Astyanax mexicanus: one gene and its partner. Each later gene encodes a partner of the first gene's protein in a complex. Links are inferred from orthologs where the notes say so. Each region holds a gene or a part of one and is shown on either strand. Other genes may lie near its edges.

Region 1 (7,704 bases):
CTGAGGTTAGCAGCGCGCTAACTGACCTGTTTATGATGTAATCCGAGCAGTGACTCCGTGTCGGCTGTTCTAACCTGCTGCTGTTAGCTGCTTGGGCTGAAAGATGAACTGTAGTGAGCTGTATTATCCGGTTAGTGGGGTTAAAACCTTTATTTGTTTACAGAAACAGTAAAAACGGACTGGCTGAGCTCTGTAGCCCGTGGCTGGGCTGTACTGAAGTAGTGACTGAGTGAAGAGAGCGGGGCTTGTGCTGCTGCTGCTAGTGGTTGGATGAAGAACTGCAGCTTCATGTAATGAGCAGTTTCACCAGCCATCCACACACAGCTCTGATAAACTGCTTGTTTTAATAGTGCACACTGTTGCTACCAAAAAAAGTCACTAGATGGCATTACCATATATATCTTAATAAATAATAATAATAATATTTATAATAATAATAATAATAATAATAATAATAATAATAAATATATTATTTAAATTTTATGAGGCATAAAATAATAACAAGAAAATAAAACAAGAAAATCGAGAATCGAATCGAATCGTGACCCTCAAATCGAAAATGAAATCGAATCGAGGATTTAGAGAATCGTGACACCCCTACAAGATGCGTAGAAACTGTGGATTAAAACCAGGGTTATTTAACCAAATATTGGTTTTTGAACTCTATGAACTTTATGAATATGAGCTTGATTTCTTTGCATCATTTGAGGTCTGAAAGCTCTGCATCTTTTTTGTTATTTTAGCCATTTCTCATCTTATGCAAATAAATGCTCTAAATAACAATATTTTTATTTGGAATTTGGGAGAAATGTTGTCTGTAGTTTATAGAATAAAAAAACAATGTTCATTTTACTCAAACATATACCTATAAATAGCTAAATGAGAGAAACATGTTTCAGAAACTGAAGTGGACTCTCTTTCAGAGCTGTAGATCTAGTGGAATTTCTGTATTTCTTCATAAATGTGACTTAAAACATCATAACATTTCCTAAAAGTAAATGAAGATAAAAAATATATTTAAAATATTATACTTGATTTAGTGCTGGACGATATGGCCAAAATTTATATCACGATATATTCCTTAAATTTCGGTCGATACGATATAATTTCGATATCGATAAATACTTTGAAGGCCTCAGAAAAAGAATCCCTGCAATCTCTGCAGCTTGCACTGCAAATTTAAATTATTATTTAACTGTGTATTTGCACTTTTTGTATCAATCTATCCAATGGAAATCTGTACCTACTACTGTATGAAAATGTTTTAAGTCTTTGAAACCTCGTTTCACAAAAACTTTAATACTTTAGAAATAAAAGTAGTCAAAATAAATCAATGCTCAATTTTATTTGCATATAGCAAAATAATAACATGACATCCCTGCCAAACATAAGCCTATATAACTATTACAAATAAAAATAACTTTAAATGACAACAGAGGCAGAGCTTCTTATTCATTGTAAACAAATTTAACAGATTAAAACAAAAGTGTTTTAACTAGGATATATAATACAAGAAGCCTTTATATACATAAAAGCAACAAAATTTTCCCGTCAAATAAACAAACCTATAGGATTTTTCAACTATAAATAACTTAGTGACAACATAATCTATTAAAGTGCTTCAGCCAGAATACAAGAGGTATTCAACATGATATCAACGGCAAATAAACAAACCTAAAGGATTCATAAACTTTAAATAACTTAGTTTCAACATAATCTATTAAAGTGCTTCAGTCAGAATACAAGAGGTATTCAACATGATATCCACGTCAAATAAACAAACCTAAAGGATTCATAAACTTTAAATAACTTAGTTTCAACATAATCTATTAAAGTGCTTCAGTCAGTATAAGGAAAATATTGTATGTAGTGAAGATGCTTGAGGTGGTAGAACAGATTAGATGTATTAACGTTACGCTGCTTGTCGGCTCCACTCACCGGCACAATTTGCAGCAAAGCGGCAAGCGAGCGGAGCCGCGGATGAGCGAGCGGAGGCGCGGATGAGCGAGCGGACCCGCGGCTGGGCGAGCGGAGCCGCGGCTGGGCGAGCGGAGCCGCGGATGAGCGAGCGGAGGCGCGGATGAGCGAGCGGAGGCGCGGATGAGCGAGCGGACCCGCGGCTGGGCGAGCGGAGCCGCGGATGAGCGAGCGGAGGCGCGGATGAGCGAGCGGACCCGCGGCTGGGCCAGCGGAGCCGCGGATGAGCGAGCGGACGCGCGAGCGGAGCCGCGGATGAGCGAGCGGACGCGCGAATGGGCGAGCGAAACAGCGGCTGACCGAACCGAGTCTACCCTAGCCTTGGATCCGCTCGTCCCGGCTCCGTTTCGAGACATTTTAGATGCGTAGCGGAGCGGACCTGAACCTAACCTAGCCTAGCCTAGCCATTTTAACCTAGCCTAGCCTAGCCTATCTGGCTACGTGCCTGTGTGATTGCGTCATCACGCACTGAGGTAGCACAGCTATGGGGGCTGAATGTGTTTGGCTCTGCGGCGAGCTGACGCCAGTAAAAAACGCCTGTCCGTGACAGATTCTGTACATAATACATATCGATATACCACAAAAGTGATATCACCGTTATTGAAACATTTCTTATCGCGATAAATACCGATATCGAATTATTGTCCAGGCCTAACTTGATTATTTATTCATTGAGGAAAATGATTCAATATTATGTATTTATAAGTGGCAAAAATATGTAAACCTCTAGGATTAGCAGTTGGTTTGAAGGTGAAATTTAGAATCAGCTGTTTTCAATCAATGGGATGACAATCAGGTGTGAGTGGGCAGAACCTGTTTTATTTAATGAACAGGGATCCATCAAAGTATGCTTAAACCATGAATGAAATAAGTAAATTCGAAAGAAAAATGGAAGGATATCTATCCATGAACTGACTCTCAAGAGAAGGTGCGTGGGTCATGCAGCAAGTAAATAACCCTAAGCACACAAATCGTTCCACCAAAGAATGGGTAAAGAAGAAAAAAATAATTAAAATGACAAACTTTTAAGCACCACTGTATATGAAGGTAAAAGAGTGATAACAATATTATCGATTTTACAGCATAACACAATCAATGCACTAGTGGCATATATAAAGAGCCTACATCCTATTTCTTTTGGTTTGATGTTTTCTTTGATGTTTTGAATCAGAAATATTTTTACACTGTCATTTTCCAACCTCATACTTTGATATAGCAATAGCATGTAGGCTAATTTTGTTACTTTGTCGTTAAGACTGGTATATGTAAATTAACTCTGACTGGATTTGCAACCCTGTGTTGTGCCCCATAAAAAAGTAGTCCTGGCTGAAAATGTATTTTAATGTCTTAAGTGAAGTTTAATGAACTGTTGACTTTATACTAAACATTGCAATATATGTATTTCCTGTAATATATTGCAATATTAAAGTATTATTAAAGTATTTATAATGATTAAAATTATGGTCGAAAGTGTTGGCAGCCTCAAAGTTTTTCTCCCAGAAAATCATTGCAATTACACGTAATGTTATATACATGTTTATTTCTATTGTGTGCATTGGAAAAACACAAAAACACACAGAAAAGGCAAAATTTGAGAAAATTTCACGCAAAACACCCAAAATTGGATGGACAGAATTATTGCACACTTTTTGGAGAGAAATATCTGTCCCTGTAACAATGGATAAGATGCACCTGAGCCTACAGGTCAGCTTGAAGTTCTTTAGAACTTCATGGGGCTCCTTATCCAACATTTGAACTATCTGGAGTTGCAACCTTTTATCAGTTTTTCTCATCCGTTTATGTCCAAGGAGATTAGCTACAGTGCCATAGATTGTAAAGTGTTGTGCACCATGGACAAAGAAACATCAAGATATCTGGAAATGGACTTGTAACCTTGAGATACATTGAGATGCATGATATTTGTCCACAATTTTGGTTCTCAGTCGTCAGACAGTTCTCTTATCCTCTTTCTGTTCTGCAAAGATTAAATTAATTTCTCTCCTTTTTCTGTGGTTTCAGGTGTTATTTTTGTATTGCCCACACCTGTTCCTTGCTACTGGTGATTTTAAACCAGTTAAAACCTGTTAAAAATGTGCTTACATACTACCCATCAAACTCTTATATTTAAAAAATATATATATATTATTTACAATATGGCCTTCACAAAATAATAATTTACTATTTTCTTTAATAATTTGATTTTGTTTTTATGTGCTTTACCATGTTTAGAATAATGTTACACATACCATATGTTGTTGAGTAAGATTGGTATGCATATGTTGAATACTGCATCAATAGTGGACAGTTCGTATGTTGCTGATTGCTCAGATTGAAATAATTAAGAAAACTTTTATTTAAGGTCTGGGTTGTTTTTTAGGTTTACGTTCTTTCAAAGTAAACAATCAATTGTCAAACTTCCCTGGTCCTCTTTTTTTATTCTTAAATGCAATTTTTCTTAATTTTAAATAAATCAGAAATACAATTACAGACCCTATATTTTGGCTTTAAATAAACGTTCTTACCTCTATCTGAAATAATCCTAGGATCAACAGAACAAGAACAAGAACAAGCTACCTTGAGATGATTATACTTGTCCATCTTTATTGTGTCTGCAGGAAACATTGTGTGTGTGTGTGTGTGTGTGTGTGTGTGTGTGTGTGTGTGTGTGTGTGTGTGTGTGTGTGTGTGTGTGTGTGTGGGTGTGGGTGTGTGTGTGTGTGTGTGTGTGGGTGGGTGTGTGTGTGTGTGTGTGGGTGGGTGTGCGTGGGTGGGTGTGTGTGGAGATGGAGGAGAGGGCTCGCAGCTGTTTGCTGCGCTCCAAAGACACTCTGGAGCAAGATATAAAGGCCTCCTACCTCATGGACCACATGATCAGTGACGGGGTCTTGACAACAGATGAAGAGGACAGGGTACTCAGCAAGGTATAGCAAATAGACCCAGATACAGGTTAACAACCAGCCACTGGTCAAAAGTTATATGGCACATACTTAAACTTGTTTTTTATTACATTTAAACTGTGCTTTATAATATCAATATTTGTACAGTGTGCAGTTGGTAACACCATTTCTCCCATATCCCAGACTTAGGTTAAATTCCCTGTCTGAGGAAGAGCACCACAGTATAACAATACATTTTCCTAATGTCTGTAATGTGATTAAACTTTTTGCCACTGGGTAAGTTTCAAAATAATACCCCAAATTAAGCATGAATAAAAAAAATAATAGTATTAGATTTAGTATTAATAAGGTCATATATATATATATATATATATATATATATATATATATATATATATATATATATATATATATATATATATATATATATAAAATATGTATGTATGTATGTATATATATATATATATATATATATATATATATATATATATATATATATATATATATATATATATATATATATATATATATATATATACATATACACTGATTCTCTTAAGTAATCATGCATCAAACCAATTAGTGTGTCACTTCCCAATCACTTTAACAGCCAGGTGCACTCTTGTGTTCTCATTTATGAGAACAGCAATGTTATTTTATTTTGTTTTCTATTTTAATGTAAAGTTGGGTTTGTGCACTGCCTCTGGTCCATGTGTGTGTAACAAGTGGGCGTGTATGTACATTGAGCACATGAGGCATGCCTGCATTGCCAAGAGACCAGTAAACTGACTGATGACTGTTGTCAGGGTTTTAATCAGCCACTGGCGCACCTTTTTTCCATTGCCAAGATCGCAATACACCTCACTTCCAGACCACCATACCCCTTGGCTTAGATACTGTATGTCTGTGAACATCTTTGCTATTTAAACGATGCAGACTCAAAGTGTGAAAATAGACTATAGATGGGATGTAAGATAACAGTGAATATTGCGATGAGCCTTGTGAAGGGTGTAAGATATGGTTAATATGAAGTAAAAAAAGAAGGTTTAAAAGCTGTTACAGAGATGATGTAGCATGTGAGGTTCCTCTTTATGACATTGTTGCTTCACTTTTGCTCTCTTTTATTTTATAGCCCACCAGAAGAGAGCAGGCAGCAGCATTGCTGGAGGTCCTCCTGCGGAAAGACAACAGAGCCTACATCTCCTTCTACAATGCCCTGGTTAGAGAGAGCTATGGAGACCTGGCCAACCTGCTGCATAATGACCTGCCACAACTCAGCCCTGAGGGTGAAAAGAGCTTTTCCAATGGGGTCTCTTCCTTAGGTAAACATTAAACTGCCTCCTTCTTACTAAAATGATTTCACTAATGATTTTACTAATAGTCTGTAGTACGTTGTGGTGAAATTGTCGAAGGGAGAGGAAAAAGTTCTAAATTCAGTGTGCCTCGTCCACATTGACCATGAACCAACTGGGACAGCCACCAACCCATAGGACACAGAATTACATGTCATTAAGTAACCCCAGAAACTCACAGTTAACTCTTTTACACAAGGAACATGCTCTTCCACAAGCCTCAGTGGCTAAATAAGACTAATCTAACTCTAGTTAATGAGAGTAACACACCAACCGTTCTGTAAAAAAAGTATTTTTTTGTTTTTGCCTTTTTTAGGATTAGGTTATATCTGATCTCTCTCTGCTCTAATTATTTCAGTTCAGCTTATTCTGAGTGAAGGCGGAGTTCCCCAAAGGCCTATGGTTTTTGTGAACCGGCCTGCTCTGCTTAACCAGGTCCGGGAGAAGCTGTACCAACTGCAGAAAGTGGTGGGCTGGGTCACAGTGTTTGGAATGGCTGGCTCAGGGAAGTCTGTGCTGGCTGCAGAGGCAGTGAGAGACCATTCATTAATCAAAGGTACTGTTTTTTTTTCTACATAAATATTTTAGTTTTTCAATGGTTAGTTTTTGACTAATGTAGAGTAACTTGCAAATGGCATATTTCTTAAAAAGAATTTTAGCAAGGTTATTATTATTTTTTCCCATTTCAGTTCATTACAGTATGCTAAATACCCTTACATGCCAGTAGTCATAGTTCAGCAGTATGTAATTTGATCATGAAATGTTCTCTTGGTTATATTGTGAGTGAGGTTCTGAATTTCTGCCAGAATTCAGTGAGAAAATGGACTGGTAGTGGATTTGGGTTGTAGTGAAACATGGTAACGTGTACAGACTTTTGTGGAATTCTCTAATCCCCCCAAAGGTACTCTGTGTATAAGCAGTCACAAGGTACTGTGTGTATAAACAGTGTTTTTTATTAAACTGGAGTTTTCAGTGTCTCATTTTAAATGTCAGGGCCCTTGCCGTTTCGAATCCTGTTTATATAGCTTGCCATTGGCTACCAGAGCCCCAAGAGCACATAATTGGCCTTGTTCTCTCTGGGTGGGTAGATGGCGCTCTCTCCAAAGGCTGATGTCTGCAGCACAAGGCATCTGTGAGCTGATGTATCGGAACGAGTCGCTGCGCTTTTCTCCGTGCGAGCTGTGATGCTACTCAGCAATTCTGCATCATCAGCAGTTCAAAAAGAGACGGTGGATGACTTCACATGTATCGGAGGAGGCATGTGCTAGTCTTCACCCCCCTGATGTTGGGGCATTGCTAGTGATGGGGAGTCCTGATGAGTGGGTTGGGTAATTGACCGTGTAAATTGGTCATTAGGCATAACAAAATTTAGCTTCTATGAAGATCATATTTGTGCTTTATACATATTATATTTATGTGTGATCATAAGTTTTGCTGCACAGTAGATTAGTACACCATCATGGTCTTTGTTGGTCAAA
Region 2 (7,685 bases), on another chromosome or scaffold:
ATCTTCAAGAAACTCCTGAAGACTGAGCTCTTCAAAGAGCACTTACTCTCCTAACACCTCTAACTAACTACCTTCTACTACCAGATCAGGAGAATCTCTCACTATCTTTAATAAACTCCTGAAGACTGAGCTCTTCAAAGAGCACTTACTCTCCTAACACCTCTAACTAACTACCTTCTACTACCAGATCAGGAGAATCTCTCACTATCTTTAATAAACTCCTGAAGACAGAGCTCTTCAAAGAGCACTTACTCTCCTAACACCTCTAACTAACTACCTTCTACTACCAGATCAGGAGAATCTCTCACTATCTTTAATAAACTCCTGAAGACTGAGCTCTTCAAAGAGCACTTACTCTCCTAACACCTCTAACTAACTACCTTCTACTACCAGATCAGGAGAATCTCTCACTATATTTAATAATAAACTGCTGAAGACAGAGCTCTTCAAAGAGCACTTACTCTCCTAACACCTCTAACTAACTACCTTCTACTACCAGATCAGGAGAATCTCTCACTATATTTAATAATAAACTGCTGAAGACAGAGCTCTTCAAAGAGCACTTACTCTCCTAACACCTACTCCTAACACTAACTACTTCTAACCTCATTTCCTTCTTCCCCTCCTTCACTCCTCTACCCCATTATTTCCCTTCAACCTCCTTTAAGCCCTATCTAAAAATGTTTTACCTTTAATTTTTATTACTTTTGTACTTCACTATTGTAAGTCGCTTTGGACAAAAGCGCCTGCCAAATGTAATGTAATGTAATGTAATGTAATGTAAAGTAAAAACATACAGAAGAATCGCACTCACTGACAGGGAGAGGGATTACAGTGGGCTGCACAGGGAGGGGAGCAGGTACAGGTAGAGGATTTCCACTCTCCAGGTGCTCCGCCAGGCTGGATTGGCCGGTTTCATGAAGACACTCCAGAAAAGCTGGGAAAGCTTGACGGCCTCTCGTCTCCAGGTCCTTCACCAGCTGCCTGGCCTGAGTACGTCTGGCCCCAGAGCTCTGCGAAACAGTTATAGAACAGTTTTTACAAAGCACTCTTTGGACTCTATCTTACACCGTGCACAAGATGAGTCACAATTCTCATTGCTATCTTACACCCCACCAACAGCCTTAATTTTTCGTTTTAAATAGCAACAGTGCGTGTGAGTACTTCTCTGGAAGTAATGTGTTGCTATTTTGTATGTAGGACCAAAACTGCCAAAATGTAAAATAAGTAAATAAGTAAATAAAAACGTAAGTAAATCACTCAGTAAAAGTAATATGGTGATTAAAACGGTACAGAATAATTATAATTAATATAAAAATAAATACATATCTATAAAAAATAAATATCCTAATTATTTGTTATTTATAGGTTTCATTATTAACATTGTTTAATTTTTAATTAATTTTATTTATTTATGCATTAATTTTTTTTCTGCATTCATTTATTTGTTATTCACTGATTTATTTATTTATTATTATTTCCTTGTCCTTATATGATAATGAAGGGACGTGTTTTATAATAATCTTCTACGTTGCCAAGAGCAAGACATGTACAATCAATCTAGGGTATCTGACATCGATCAACCAATAGGATCGCTCTAAGACACCATGACATCATTGCTGGACATCCCCTTCATTATCATAAAAGGAAAAGAAAAAACAGAAATCAATAAAATGGGAAATAAATAAATCGGGAAATAAATAAATCGGGAAATAAATAAATTAAAGCAGAAATAAATAGTTATGTAAATAAACAAACAAACAAATAAAAAGAAAAAAATAAACCCATACATAACAATGTAAGATATTTATTTTTATATTAATTATAATTATTGTTTACTGTTTTAATCACCATATTACTTTTATCGAGTGATTTACTTACGTTTTTATTCATTTATTTATTTTTATTCATTATTTTATTCATTATTTATCCTCCATAATCTTGGCAGCAGAAAACTGATTTTAAATCATGACCTTAATTCAGTGTTTTGTCATAAATCGCCAAAAAAATTGTGATATTATATTGGCCACCCCTAGTTGAAATTTAATTACAGTTTTTAACCTTAAAAAGATATAATTTAAATGTACAAAATGCAGATTCAGATTTAAGTCAGCTTTAAAGCTCCATATTAGCTCTCTTTTTGTATCTTGAACCTGTTTAGCACTACACAGACCTCTTTATCTTGTCTTAGAACGCTCTTCCTCATCTCACCTTTATCTCATCTATCATGTCCTGACTGAAGATGCCTCTTGACAAGAGTCCATCGAGGACACCTGAAGGATCTAGGGTCTTCACCAGGTGAGCTCTGTTCTGCTGGAGGATCTTCCTGTGTCTGGGCTCCATGCTGTTAACAGAGTCCATAAAACATTAGTTAGATACCAGTCAAAACACCTCTTCTCATTCAATTAGTGTTTATTATTATTATTATCATTATTATTACTTTATTTTTTATTTTATTTTTTATATTGTAAATTTAATTTTGGAGACTATATTAAAGCTTTACGGGAACATGTGGAATTATTCTGTAAATAAAAAGTGTTAAACAAACCATAATATGTTTTATATTTTAGATTTTTATAAATAAGCATCACATTTATTTAGGTATTTTAATCTCAGTGTCTTCACGAGGGAATATGTTTCTCAGGGGAGTTTTGTGTAGGACAAACAGTTTTCCATATGTGTCCCTTAATCGTTTTCATTACAATTAGTCTTTAATATTAATCTACAATGTAGAAAGTAAATTAAATCAGGAAATAAAGCATAAAAACACTGAATGAAAAGGTGTATCCATATTTTGACTGGTATGTTTCTGTATATTTAACGCAGCTAAACGCCAGCGTAATAGAGTTGAGTCTAACAGACACAAAATATAAAATAAATATTTAATTGATTAAATTCTAAATTATATTTCACTTGAAAAATCGATTTTAAAACGGTAAAATACAAAAAAATACAGCTTTAAATACACAGAGCTGAGGAAATACTCACCTTCCTTGTTTATGTCACGCCTAACAACACCACAGAGTCTGTACAGGCGAGAATACCCACTTAAAAATCTGTTCTGGGGGTGTCTGACCACCAGAGGGCGCTGCAGAGTAAGTCTAAAATGAATGGGTTCATATGGAGTAACTGAGTTGATTGGATGGATGGATGGTTGTATGAATGGATGGTTGGATGGATGGTTGTATGGATGGATGAATGAATGGATGGATGGATGGATGGATGGATGAATGGGTGGTTGGATGGATAGATGGATGGATGGATGGTTGGATGGACGGATGGATGGATAGATAGATGGATGGTTGTATGGATGGCTGAATGGACGAATGGATGGTTTTAGACTACTACATAATTTGAACACACAAACTGTCTCTTACTTTTTAACAAAATTTTGCACCAGTACAAATGAGGGCAATGATATATATAAATTAATACATGTTTACTAATTTTTATACTGAAAAAAACTAAATCAGCATCAGCTCTCCAGCCAGTGTTAGGCTAACCAGTCTTTAATGCAAAAAAAAACCGTTTGCTGTAATTTAATGGAAACATACAGGTCATTTTTCTTTATATTTTTAGTAAAGTACTTTATAATAATTTCTAAAGATAAAGTAATATTCTGGCTAAGTAGTTAGCTAGTGTTTTTAATTTGAGATTTTAGCCGTTTAGCTCCATTCACCCGCATTCAATTTGGACTCACTCGCGGGCTCCCTCTAGCGGTGCGCAGTTATTTTTGATATAACAGGGAGGTAAAAAGTGCGCAGGCTCGCCAAAAAACAGCTCTGATATCAGTATCTGTGTGCGTTTGTGCGATCAAAGATGCGTCGCTTAAACGCAGACTTTGTGCATGTTTTTCACATCTATTTGTAGTTCTATTTCACACATATTTTTCGTTTTACTGCGCACAGATCAGATTATTGAGGAAAATAAAACGTTAAAGAATGTATGAATAATACTATAAATGTTACTTTAGATTCTAAAGGCAATAGGCTATAAATATTCCATATTATTATTATTATTATTATTATTATTATTATTATTATTATTATTATTTTAATGAGTTTTGTATTCTGCATTTAGTCAGCAAAAAGTTCCATATAAATCCATATAAAGCTACCTAGAAATGCTCTACAAATTTGATACAATTTTAAACAGTTTTCTGACTTTTTAATCAATATGTTCTGTATTTAGAATTAGTTTAGTTCCTGGTTATTTCTGCTGTTTAACTGTATGATAAACTACCCTCTAAAATCATTGCTTATTTTAACCCTTCCTGAACTGAGTTATGATGCAGTGATAAACATGTGCAACAAAACATTTGTTGTTTACCTTTCAAATGAAAATACAGTAATACTAATTTTGTAAAAAAAATAAATAATAAAAAAATAAAAAAAATCCAAGGATATTAGGGTCTTTAGAGTTTGAACACCATATATTTAAAGGCCTAGAAAAGCATGGAATTTGATCATACTCATTGTGTATAAAAGTATATTTGCAAGATGATTTAAGATTATATTTGTACAGTCAGTGTAGTGAAGTTGAATTGAAAATGTAGGATAAGTGATGAAGAAATTGCAACATGCAAAAGTAGAGACTGGCAGTAAGAAAAGAAAGAGAGAGAGAGAGAGAGAGAGAGTAGACTAATACTGTACACATGCTGTATCTGGCAGGAGCTTCACTCAGGACTTGGCTTCAGACTAAAGAGGCTTTGATCAAAACATCATCCAGGAAAGGTGTGGAGGCCAGCTGCCCCGGCCTGAGGTGGAGAACTCACAGATCCACACACAGATCCAGGGCTGCGTACTGCTACTTACATTTAATAGTGGTCTTTTGTAAGAAACTAAAAGGAAGTAGAGAGCACCACAAGAGTATAAGCAGTATTTTACCTTACTGGATATGACTAGTAAAAAAGGTTCTTGGCTGAGTAAGCATTGTCTCAAGTTACACTGAAAAAAAAGTCAATTTAGATGAAAAAATATGCATATCAGTTGCACATATAATAAACTTATGAAGAATAAAAATGATTGCTTTTTATTTTCTTTTATGTAACATTACTTTTCATACTTATTGAATTGCTATCTAATGACTTCTGCTAACTTAAATAGTACACCTTAATGCAACTAAAAAAAACTACACTAAAGTGCACTTTAAACATTATTTAAAGAGAGTAAAACGGAAGATTGCAGAAAGAGTTTTATTATTCTTTGAAGCTCTAGTTTTAATTAATATATATTTTTATAGTTTTCTTTTCTCTCTCTCTTTCTCTTTCTTTGTGTATTTGAGTATATACCTGGTTAATTATATATTATTATATTTACTTGTCTGTTGTTTGTGCCATTGTTATTATGTCAATATGTGTATTGTGCTATATTGTTTATTTGCTTACGGTTAATTAATTCATTAAAAAAAAAACTTTATATGTTTGGCCGCTGCAGCGCCTCTAGCGGTGAGGCGCGGTTACTGCAGGCCGGTCAGAGCCCTGAGCCCTGAGTCTGAGCTCAGTCCGCTTCAGCTGGATCTGAATGAATGGAGGAGAAACAGACTGAGGGCTGGGAGTGAGGAAGAGCTGCAGCGGAGCGCTGAGGTCCTGATGTTCTGATGTTCCTCCAAACAAACCAGCAGGAGATAGAGCGGGATTTCTCCCCGCGGAGGAGCCATGCTGCAGTAACAACACACCGGAGAGGAGGAGACCGAGACCGAGAGAGCGGCGGGGAGAACCGACCGACCGACCAACCGACCGACTGACCGCAAGCTACAGGTCAGTGAAAGCTCTGCTGCTGCTGTACTGCTAACGTTATTTAAACGTTCTCCCCAATATAGGAACAAATGTTCCACACTAACATTAATGTAACGTTCTAAAAACGGTGCACAACAAAAGTTCCCCAAGTCTTTAAAAATATAATAATTCCCACAAAAAAAGTCTTGCACGAACGTGTTCAAATTTCCTCTGGTGTTAGGACATCAGGCAAACGTTCCCCCCGCAGTAACATAAATGTAACGTTCTATAAACATTTTGCAACTTTGTTTAAAGTTCCTCTGATGTTAGGAGCAAACGTTCCCACAATAACATTAATGTAAAGTTTGTAAACATTGTACAACCTTGTGAAATTTTTTTCCCAGTGTAAAAAAGGAGCAAACTTTCCCACAACAACATTGATGTAACATTCTAAAAAACGTTGCTCAAATTTCCCCAGAAACGTTAATCGAACGCTCTAAAAATGTTGCACGACCTTGTTCAAATTTCCCTAATGTTTAAAAACAATTTAAGCATTTTATTCCTACAGTAACATTAATGGGACGTTCCTAGAAGTGCCTTTACGCAGCAGTGCAGCAGCTAATTAACTGATTAATTAAACAGCATGCTGTATTTACCGTATTTACAGTTTTTACATAACTCTCTACAACAGCACGGGGTTAATGCGCAAAGTTTCATAATGTTAGTTAATATCAAGCTAACAGTGAACATACCCCTAACCATTTACTAACGTTATTTAAAAGTTCTCCCCAAGCTACGAGCGAACATTCTCACAATATAATAAATGTAACGTTCTGAAAACGTTGCACAACCTTGTTTAGAGTTCCCTGGTGTTACAATAACAATAATTTCCAGAGTAACTTTCATGGAAGGTTTAAAAAAAAAAGTTTTGCATATTGCTTGTTCGAAGTTCCTCTGATGTTAGTGGCAAACTTTACCACAATAACATGAATGTAATGTTCTAAAAATGTTATGAGCAAACATTCCCACAACCAGAGTGTAACAATGTTACATAAACATGAATTATGATAAATGTTTTAAATATGCATCTACTAGCATACCTGCAACTCTATATATATTTATATATTTTAGAAACTGTGTGTCTGGTAGGTTTTCCTATGATTTTTTTGTTCTGGCCTCAACAGCCTTTCCATAATAACTGGTAAACTGTGGTTTTCTATTGATGTGGATGAAACAACTACTGCAAAAAAATAAAATTTTTGATTTTTTTAGTGCTACAATCCATCTGTATTCTATATATTCCATAATTTGTGAATGCATAGGCATTCCCAAAAGTTCCCACTGTTGCACTGATGTTGAACCATATACTTTTGCACTGGGAAGCTACTGTGTGTACAAAACAAGAAATCAAAACAAGATTAACACACACAGTGAATGCTGCACCCTGATTGGTTTGCTTTCTTTGTGCATTTTGATTTTACTTAGTTTTTGCTGGTAACTTTTTTCAGGCAGCCGTTGGTTTTCTATCTCAGTTGGAGTAAATGCAGCGCTAGATGGTTCCCAACAAGTGGACTATGAATCCAAGTCTCCACAAATCTCCTCCCAGGAGCTGGCTCGGGATTCGGCTACGTCTCAGTAAGATGTTTTATTTTATCCTCGTTATGAAGGTTGTGAAGTTATGAAGGTTCCTGCCAGGCTGGAGCTCTTGAGAGGATGCTTTACAGCTGAAAGGCACTGAAGTAGTCTTTAGTGTTGTATTTTTCCTATTTTTGTTTATGTTTTAGTTCACTGTTCTAAGATCTAAATTTTAGTCTGTATAAAAAACATATACTATAAACATGAAAAATGGAGGGGTCTGAGTGGTCCAGCAAACTAAGGGGCTACCACTAGTTAGTGGATTGGGAGATCGCTGGTTCGAATCCTGGTTATGCAGCTTGCCATCAGCTGCCGAAGCCCAAAGAGAGCACAA

What was found. Proteins that work in one complex are often made in the same cells at the same time.
Region 2: the proteins of apaf1 (region 1) and casp9 are in contact, whole or in part, in a crystal structure (PDB 4RHW), measured with the Homo sapiens proteins. The link is inferred for Astyanax mexicanus from reciprocal best matches to the Homo sapiens genes APAF1 and CASP9. Residues at the interface, in NP_863651.1 of Homo sapiens: Thr22, Ser23, Tyr24, Met26, Asp27, Ile30, Ser31, Ile37, Glu40, Glu41, Arg44; in NP_001220.2 of Homo sapiens: Asp23, Trp26, Asp27, Leu30, Arg36, Pro37, His38, Glu41, Gln44, Arg45.

What each region holds. Positions count from the first base shown.
Region 1 is NC_064409.1:37,145,450-37,153,153, reverse strand, and holds the start of apaf1 (apoptotic protease-activating factor 1), read left to right. Parts: upstream 1-4,598; 5' UTR 4,599-4,760; coding exon 4,761-4,898; intron 4,899-6,006; coding exon 6,007-6,196; intron 6,197-6,584; coding exon 6,585-6,782; intron 6,783-7,704. UniProt on the Homo sapiens protein: Oligomeric Apaf-1 mediates the cytochrome c-dependent autocatalytic activation of pro-caspase-9 (Apaf-3), leading to the activation of caspase-3 and apoptosis. This activation requires ATP. Isoform 6 is less effective in inducing apoptosis.
Region 2 is NC_064420.1:3,314,332-3,322,016, forward strand, and holds the start of casp9 (caspase-9), read right to left. Parts: upstream 3,060-7,685; 5' UTR 2,989-3,059; intron 2,345-2,988; 5' UTR 2,344-2,344; coding exon 2,212-2,343; intron 1,014-2,211; coding exon 815-1,013; intron 1-814. Other genes in the region: plekhg5b (pleckstrin homology domain-containing family G member 5), read left to right, coding at 7,270-7,351. UniProt on the Homo sapiens protein: Involved in the activation cascade of caspases responsible for apoptosis execution. Binding of caspase-9 to Apaf-1 leads to activation of the protease which then cleaves and activates effector caspases caspase-3 (CASP3) or caspase-7 (CASP7).